Linked DNA regions of Schizosaccharomyces pombe. Changing the gene in region 1 together with any one later gene gives a genetic interaction. Each region holds a gene or a part of one and is shown on either strand. Other genes may lie near its edges.

The links.
Region 2: mutations in bmt2 (region 1) and ndi1 together harm fitness more than expected from each alone (negative genetic interaction), as found in Schizosaccharomyces pombe (one large-scale study listed by BioGRID).

The regions. Positions count from the first base shown.
Region 1 is NC_003424.3:363,855-367,213, reverse strand, and holds bmt2 (rRNA (adenine) methyltransferase Bmt2), read right to left. Parts: upstream 1,770-3,359; 5' UTR 1,665-1,769; coding exon 852-1,664; 3' UTR 772-851; downstream 1-771. Other genes in the region: protein Vps55, read right to left, coding at 25-109, 174-246, 323-341, 397-413.
Region 2 is NC_003423.3:639,043-644,481, forward strand, and holds ndi1 (NADH dehydrogenase), read left to right. Parts: upstream 1-2,251; 5' UTR 2,252-2,643; coding exon 2,644-4,299; 3' UTR 4,300-4,864; downstream 4,865-5,439. Other genes in the region: exosome subunit Rrp46, read left to right, coding at 332-386, 470-1,095; respiratory chain complex assembly protein Cbp6, read left to right, coding at 5,249-5,437.

The DNA.
Region 1 (3,359 bases):
ACCAACATTATTATATTTCCATACCTGTCTTCCTCTTGTAAAAAGTCATGGCTTGTCGAGTATTTTTTCGTAAGGAGATTAGGAAGAGGAGCTAAAATGAATGGAATGACTATTCATTAGTAATTCGTAAGCAATGTAAATGAAATAGTTCTCAACGGTTGACAAAATCATACCAATTAGCAGTGGATACCAATTCTTGAATAAAGCACAAGACAGGATCACCAGCATAAATCCTACTGCCAGGACCTTAATAATATAAGTTAGACTCGTTTAAAATGGAATTGATGTCTAGCTCGAGTAGGAGTCATTGAGCGATGCATACCGAAGAAAGACCGATAATTCTAATTGGTGACAAACGTTAACCTTTGCTTTTTCATATTAACAAAAATTACTTACTTCCTGAGGTCGGACATATTTAATTACTATCGTTCACGAATATATACTGCAAGCTAAAGTTTACTGCTTTTGAGAAGAGAGACTTCGATGATTACCAGCTACTTCACCTAAAAAGGGTACGCTCCATTACGTTATACAGATGTGTTCTGTATGCATAGAACACAGAGCGGTGCACAAGATTTGTAAACTTGGCAAATAAGTTTAAAAAGACATATAACGAAAATGACTTGTTACTATTTTTTACACCAATGATCGAGCTTTCGGCTCATTAGTAAAGTATCGCATACGAACAAACTCTGAAAAACGTACTTTGTAGCTACGTAAGTAAAGGCTAGTAATTGACATTAACAATACAATTAAAAAAAAGCAAGAGGATAACCGACAAAAAGCATTCATTTCATTAATTTAACTTTGAGATACTAGTAAAATAAATTTTGTATTGACAAATATCTTAATTAGAGTATACAGGGAATGAAGAAATTATTCCTAGTTGCCCCATCATTAACGATCTTCTTTTTCCAGTCTATTTCTTTCATAGGAAAACACTCGTAAGAATATAAATAGTAGGCTATTTTTTTCGATATAGACTTTTGACGACAGATAAATCCAAACTGTATCATAATTGAGTGTAATGTTTTTTCATCCATGTACCGAGAATTTGTTATGCAAGGCGAAGGCAAAACCAAAAATAACCAAGGAGGCTGTTCTTTATTAGGAGGCATTAACAATCCTGTACAATGTAATAACATTTTAGCTCGGAGTTCTGGAGGTGCAAAATTCAGCACAAGTGAACAACTTATCCCAGTAAAAAGTCCTTCTTCAGGAGTTCTTTCAAGAAAGTCCTGTTGTTTAATCAAGGGATGAACAGAATGCAAATCAATCCTTGAAACTCGGAAAAGTCCACAAGTTGAACATTTGTTGTCAACAGAAACACTGCCAATTTCCAACAAATCTTTCGGCTCCTTAAGACGTGCGCAATACGAAAAACAGGGAGTTGTCCGAATCCATTTTATCAATATTTTACTTGAATCCCCTCCTTTTCCTTCCGCTTGACCGGATCGACTAGCTCGTTGGTAAGCATCAATACCTATATTTTCGAGTTCACTTTCCACATTTTTTATTTTTTCAATCGGAGCACTTGACGCAATAAGTCGAGATTTCTCTTTTAACAGGTTATGATAATGACGAATAAGCTTATTCCCCTTCAGTCCCTTTGCATTATCAATGTTGTTTTTTCCAATGCGATTCTTCACTGGAATGGGACGCATTCAAATAGTGATAAAATATTTGTTAATCTCCCAGATGAAAATATAATTGTATTTACAGTAAATGGTTCATAAATGTAGTTTCCTAATTACTTGAAAAGTTTTTACGATGAAAGAAGTAGTGTCGCGTTACTTATAAAAATTCAGCACAAGAAGAGCTTGGACAATGTATGATAAATTCTTAATATGTAATTAAAGAGCGGTAATTTATGCAACCCTTTAACCATTACACAGAATATTAAACGGGTTTCCTTTTTTTATACGGTTTGTACTTTACAAGCACAAATCAACTTTTTTTATATTTGAAACAAAAATTTAAAGGCTTTGGGCTTCGAGGGGGATCGAACCCCTGACCACTTCGACCCAAACGAAGTATGCTACCACTACACCACGAAGCCTCAGTTGATATTGTGCTTTGAAAACTGTATATATAGTTATTAGATTTACTTGATTATTAACTAAACTTTTTCAATTGTTTTTAAAAAATAATCAAAATAAAGAAAACAACCGCCAAATATGGTAGAACTATAACATAAAAAAATTCGGATAAATAAACAGCCAATATCAACTTCTCTCTTAAATTGTTTTAAATGATTCCACTCATCAGTTACGTTACGATATAATTGATATAAGTTATTTTTAAAAGAAAGTAATAAATGTGTATAAATATGTATATACGACAGCTATTGAAAAGTATTTTGGTAAATTCTAAACTAACGATTTATATCTAGTGGAATTGGATAAGGGACTTTATTTATTATTTCTTAAATAAAATACATTTTAAAAAATAAAAAAAAATAAAAAAAGAAAAGAAAAGAATTTGGTGTACTACGGATTACCTTAAGTTTTTAAGTTAAACGGGTGAAGTGTAAGTATTTATGATATGAAAACCATAGAAACATTTTTGTATTTTTACTACTTACAGACGAATTCTAATTGTTTCACCAGACTATATACTATTAAAACAAATAAGTGCTTCAAAAATAATTATTGTAGATTAAATTTTCTTGATAACTCAAACTTGAGTAAATTAATTTTTTAGAGTATATGTTAAAAAAATAAATACTTTTAGTTTAATTAAACGTACAAAAAGTGTTAACAAACATTATGTACCTGTAAACAAAATGTAATAATTAAATATAAATAATATTTGTAACTGCGGCTGCTATCGCATTGGATGGGGGACTGATTGTTGTACATTTCAGCTAAACTTATTTTTACAAGTTACTTTATTTACTGACACAATAAATTGCGTGTTTTTTTTGGATTACTATAGAAAAAACACATACGTTAGCACTGGAATATTATTATTTAGCTATAAAAGTCGCAAGAGACAAGTATGACAATTTAAAGACAAAGTATAAAATGCATATTACCTAAATTCTTCAGCATTTGAGCTATACTGCATGGCATCAAGATTAAACAATTTAAAAGTTAGCCGTCATTGTAGAAAATATAACTACAGAAATTCTATTATCCCTGAAAATCCAGAGCATCACCAAATTTTATTATGTATCTTCTATTTACTTATAGGTAAAAACAAAACATTTACAGCGTTACAACTTTCCAAATAGTGAGGCGCAGTGAAGCCGTTTCCAAGTATTACAGAGTTTACGCAAGCATTCAGTATATTGGCACAAATGAGACGTAACGGAATGTTAGTGATACAACATCCCGTAACAAAACTTTGTTGGTAAA
Region 2 (5,439 bases), on another chromosome or scaffold:
AGATTATATATCATGATGTATTATTTTTAAAAAAATATTTTGAAAGATGGCTATGAGTAATTTCTAATTTTTTAGTGGTTGGGCTGTTACAGATCATTCCAGTTTCTCCTATCATTCAGCTTTAGTAAAGTAAAAATTGGAAGAATTTAATTACAAACCCTTATTAATACAACTCCCATTGTCACCAAACTATTGATACATTTTTTTCTGCTCTCATTCTGTTTTCGAATAACGAGGTGTAAGCTAGCTTATTTCCTACTTGTGCAAAGGAAGTAGAAACGTTTCTTCTGTCTCTGCAAGCAAGCAACTTTGTTGCATTATAGAAGCTGAAATGAACCGTATAGGTATCCTCTCAAGGTCTGATGGCTCGAGCGAATGGAAACAAGGTAATGCTATTATCCACGGTATATTAGCCAAGCAAATGCCAATTAAAAAAAAATGAATTTTCTTTATGCTAACATCATTGTAGGTTCTGCTAGGGTTATTTGTGGTGTCAATGGTCCTATTGATGTAAAAATCAGGGACGAAAGGCTTAACAAGGCCACCGTTGAAGTTTTGGTTCAACCTGTGAGTGGTGTCGCTGAGACTTTGGAAAAGATGATTTCTAGCAGAATTGTTGGTATCCTAGAAGATGCAATATTTCTAAACACATATCCAAGAACACTTATACAAGTGTCAATTCAGATAATAGAGGAAGATGGCACAGATACATTGGCTGCCGTAATCAATGGTGCGGTACTTGCTTTATTGGACGCAGGTATCTCTTTAAAATATATTCCCTGTGCAATAAATTGTCACTGGAAGAACAAAATAACTCAAGATGAACCTGATGTCGATGGGACAATTAACAAATTGGAGTCTATTATTACTATTTGTTATTCAATTTCCTCAGAACCAGCCAAATTAATTTTTCTCGAAACAGCTGGCCCCATTCCAGAAGAAGATTTTTTCCGTGTTCTGGAGACAGCACCATTGCATGCCGAGGAAGTTTCTAAGAAAATGAAAGAATTGCTTTTTGAAACGTACAACGAGAGCGATGGTCATGAAAATGAAAAGAACCCCAAAGAGGATGTTGAGATGGATGTGGTTGCATAAGAAAATCAATAAAGTGCATGTAAAAAGTCCATCTCAAGGACCTTCGTTTCGTATTTACCATTGTACCTGTTAAACGACTATACCTTTGAACAATATCTTTGGCTGTTCATTTTTATACTTAGATTTTATATTACTTGGGCGATATACATTGGGTTATTTTTAATTTATTTTAGTTTATTACTAATTGAGAAACCAGAACCTAAACAATCCTACTACATTAGAAGGTTTACTGTCATTCTTTCAATTCACTAGCAATTAATGTGTTCTTTCAATACTTCAATGTATGCTGATACATTTGGGTTAAATCATAAAAGAAGATCTGTCATAAGACAATCGTTCAGTACAAGGCCTTGGGTATATACACTCATGACTTTTTTTTTTAATTTTGCCACTCACTCACTTACTCTATACATATTGAGTCTATCTAACGTATCAAGCTGTTAACTAAGAGAAACGATTTGAAAACACATAGGAAGGTCGCACACATTAGCTGTCTTATATACTACTGAATTTTAAGTTTAGGAAATCATTGAAGGTAAAATAGGTAGAAAAGTGAATAAAAGGCATTCATACCCAGGACAAAGCATTGCCTTCATAAACTGGGAATTTGCCATACACTAAAAAATTACTGTTGCACAACTTTTCCTAAAAAGTAATCTAATGTAGTAATATTATACTACAGCAGGTATTAATATTTTTTCACATGTCCTTTTTTTTATGTGTTCGCCAAATATGACGGTTATAAATTTAGTTAAATACTTTTGATTGAAGGTACTATTAGCTACAATTTATGAATAGAGATCAATTGACCCGGTTCTCAGTCCAGTTATAAGCTGATTCAACGATGAGTTACACCCTTCATGCCACAAAATTTATAGCATTTGTCACCCATATCACTTTTTTTAGGACAAATAACATACACTACCAATGTAACATTAAATGTGATAACACAGTGCGTTGCTAACATTTAGCAATTCTTTTCTTACCACGTAATACTTTTTATGGATAACCTTATTCCGCGTTATTTTTCCCCACTCACAGCACACTTGATTGCCGAGTCCAATCAAGTTGATATGAATAACCGTGATGACGGAATTAGGGCGCTTCGTAGACCTTAATTGTTTACATACAAAATGTTCAGCTATGCAGCCCTTTCGTCCACATTCAACACTCCCCCATCTCTTCTTAAAAAAAAAATAAGCAGAAAAACTCGTTTTCTGTAAAGTAGAAGGTATTTTAGAATACACTACAATTTTTTCTAGTAAAACTATTATTGGATACCTTTTTTTCGCAGTTCTAAAGGCTTATTTCTGCTAGTTATAGTAATTCACTGTGTATTTAGGAGAGGACTCAAGGTTGTCGTTCTCTCTTTCTATTACTGTCTATTAATATCGTAAAATAGCTCAATTTTGAATGGGTTTATCTCTTTAGTTTGCTTGCTCTTTAACATTTGTCATTATCTCATACATTTTTTTACTCACGCCTCCCTACCACTTATCACTTAGTCCTATTTAAGGGGAAATTTGTTTACTTCTTTTTTCTTAAAAAATGTCGGTCTCAAAAGCTAGACTACAGTCTGTGGTTCGCCTGTCTCGTACAGTGCCATATTCAAAAACGATGGTTCGTTCATTTCATGTATCCTGTGCTGTAAAGAACAGTGGGAATGTTCCTACACCCCGTAACAAATCATTTTTCTCTCGAGCACTTGAAATGGCGGAAGTTACTTCTTCTTTGTCCATGTTGGGTGCCGTAGCCCTCTTCCAATCCTTACGAAGACTGAACAACAGTTCGCCAAAAGGAAAATCTGGTGTTCCGAAAAAGAACATAGTTGTTTTGGGTTCTGGATGGGGTGCAGTCGCGGCAATCAAAAATTTGGACCCGTCCTTGTACAACATTACCCTCGTGAGCCCTAGGGACCATTTTTTATTCACCCCTATGCTTCCTTCATGTACCGTGGGTACTTTGAGACTTCCAAGTATTACTGAGCCCATTGTGGCTTTGTTCAAAGGAAAAATTGATCCCTCCAACATTCACCAAGCTGAATGCACTGCCATCGACACATCGGCTAAGAAAGTTACCATTCGTGGTACGACCGAAGCTAACGAGGGAAAGGAAGCGGTTATTCCGTATGATACGCTTGTTTTTGCTATTGGAGCTGGTAATCAAACATTTGGTATCCAGGGTGTCCGCGACCATGGCTGTTTTCTGAAAGAAGCGGGAGATGCCAAGAAGGTGTTTAACCGCATCTTTGAAATCTTGGAACAAGTTCGATTCAATAAAGATCTTTCTCCCGAGGAACGGGCTCGTCTCTTACACATCACTGTTGTTGGTGGTGGCCCTACTGGAATGGAATTTGCAGCTGAGATGCAAGATTTCATTGATAACGACGTTAAGGATATGTTTCCCGAGCTTCAAAAAGACATCCATGTCACGTTAATTGAAGCTGCCCCCGGTGTTCTCCCCATGTTTACTAAATCTTTGATTACGTATACGGAGAATTTATTCAAAAATCTTAACATTAAGATCATGACTAAAACCGTGGTTAAAGATGTTAATGAGAAGAACCTTATCGTTCAAAAGACCAACCCTGACGGAAGCAAGGCTATGCAAGAGATACCCTACGGAATGCTCGTTTGGGCTGCCGGCATTACTGCTCGTCCACTCACTCGTACATTGATGTCTTCTATCCCTGAACAAAGCGGTGCGCGCAAAGGTTTAATAGTTGATGAGTTTTTTAGGGTCAAGGGTGTACCTGAGATGTACGCCGTTGGTGATTGCGCATTCTCTGGATTACCTGCTACTGCTCAAGTTGCTAACCAACAAGGTGCTTGGTTGGCTAAGAACTTGAACGTCGAAGGAAAGAAGTTTGCATTGCATGAACGGATTCAAGCTCTTGAAAAACAGTTAGGTGAGAAAGAGGCTCCTTCTCAGGTTGCCGGATTGAAACAGCAAGTGGAGCAGTTGAAGTTAGAGCCCTTTAAATACCATCATCAAGGAGCTTTAGCTTACGTTGGAGATGAAAAGGCCATTGCCGATTTAAAATTGCCATTTATGAAAAAGATGCTGCCTTTGCAGGGAATTGTCGGCCACACCTTTTGGAGACTTGCATATTTAAATGAGTTGATTTCTGCTCGATCCCAATTCATGGTGTTGATTGACTGGTTGAAGACAAGACTATTTGGACGTTATGATGCTAAGGTTTAATGAACGGAATGAAATACTTTTGGTTTACAAGCAATTGTTTCCTTGTGCTTTGTCGTTAATCATAAGATGATTATTTTATACTTGAAAAAGGAACGTATTTGAATAACAGATTTCGAGATGAACGATTCGTTTCGACTACTACTTTGATAATTTAAGTTTATGTTATTCTAAATGATAATACTGATGCCTTATTTGTTCTATGATGGAATAATTCTTAGTGTTACTCCATTGATGTATGTAGAAAAGCTGGAAGTTAACAGTTGACAGGTAGTACAATTTCGTTACTCAACGAGACTATATGTTGCATATGAACTGAAAGAATTATATTTATGTCTTACTGTATTCAGAACCACTTTAATTAGAGCCCGTATAAACCATGTTCTCTGCTTTTAGCTAGCTAATCGTATAATTAATATGCCATGCTGGCTTCACCGGCACTAGATTCGTTGTACAGTATTATATTACACTACCCCATCAGGAACCGTTTCACAAAAAACCCGTTCGCTTACATAGCAACATTTCTTAGATAATTTCATATTTCTAATCCACTCCAAATAAGATATCCTTTCTTATATAGATTGAAAGTTTTAAAATACTGCTTAAATATGCTTAGTTGACTCTACCTTGCTCACTTCAATTTTAAACCGTTTTCAAAGGTTCTATCAACTCCATCGCACCGGTACTTTTTAAGATCATTTAATGATATACGTTGTATAACATAATAGATGATTCACTAAAAAAACTCACCGTAGTACTGATTGCATCCTTATAAGCCTAACAAAATATGTAATTATTCTGTTAAGTTATTTACAATATTTGTATTTGCCGCTCAATATTGTTTAGCGCAATAAGGTGATATAGCCTGGCCAAAGCAGAGAATGTCGAAGAATCTTTCTACTTGCAAAGCAATTGAAAGTTGAGGCTTTATTCTTGTTTTTAACCCTCAATAATGTCTCTAAACCAAAAAATAACAAAGGCAGTTGCTCTTTGGCCGAAGGATGAATTGCGACCTTGGTTGTCGTTTCCTAAGACTCTTGACACATCTATTAGAGCCAGACTTCAAAAGATGCCACCTCAACAGGCTAATAAGCAGTTAAACGCTTTGAATAATTTGCTTGATAATGTCTATTGGAATAAGGT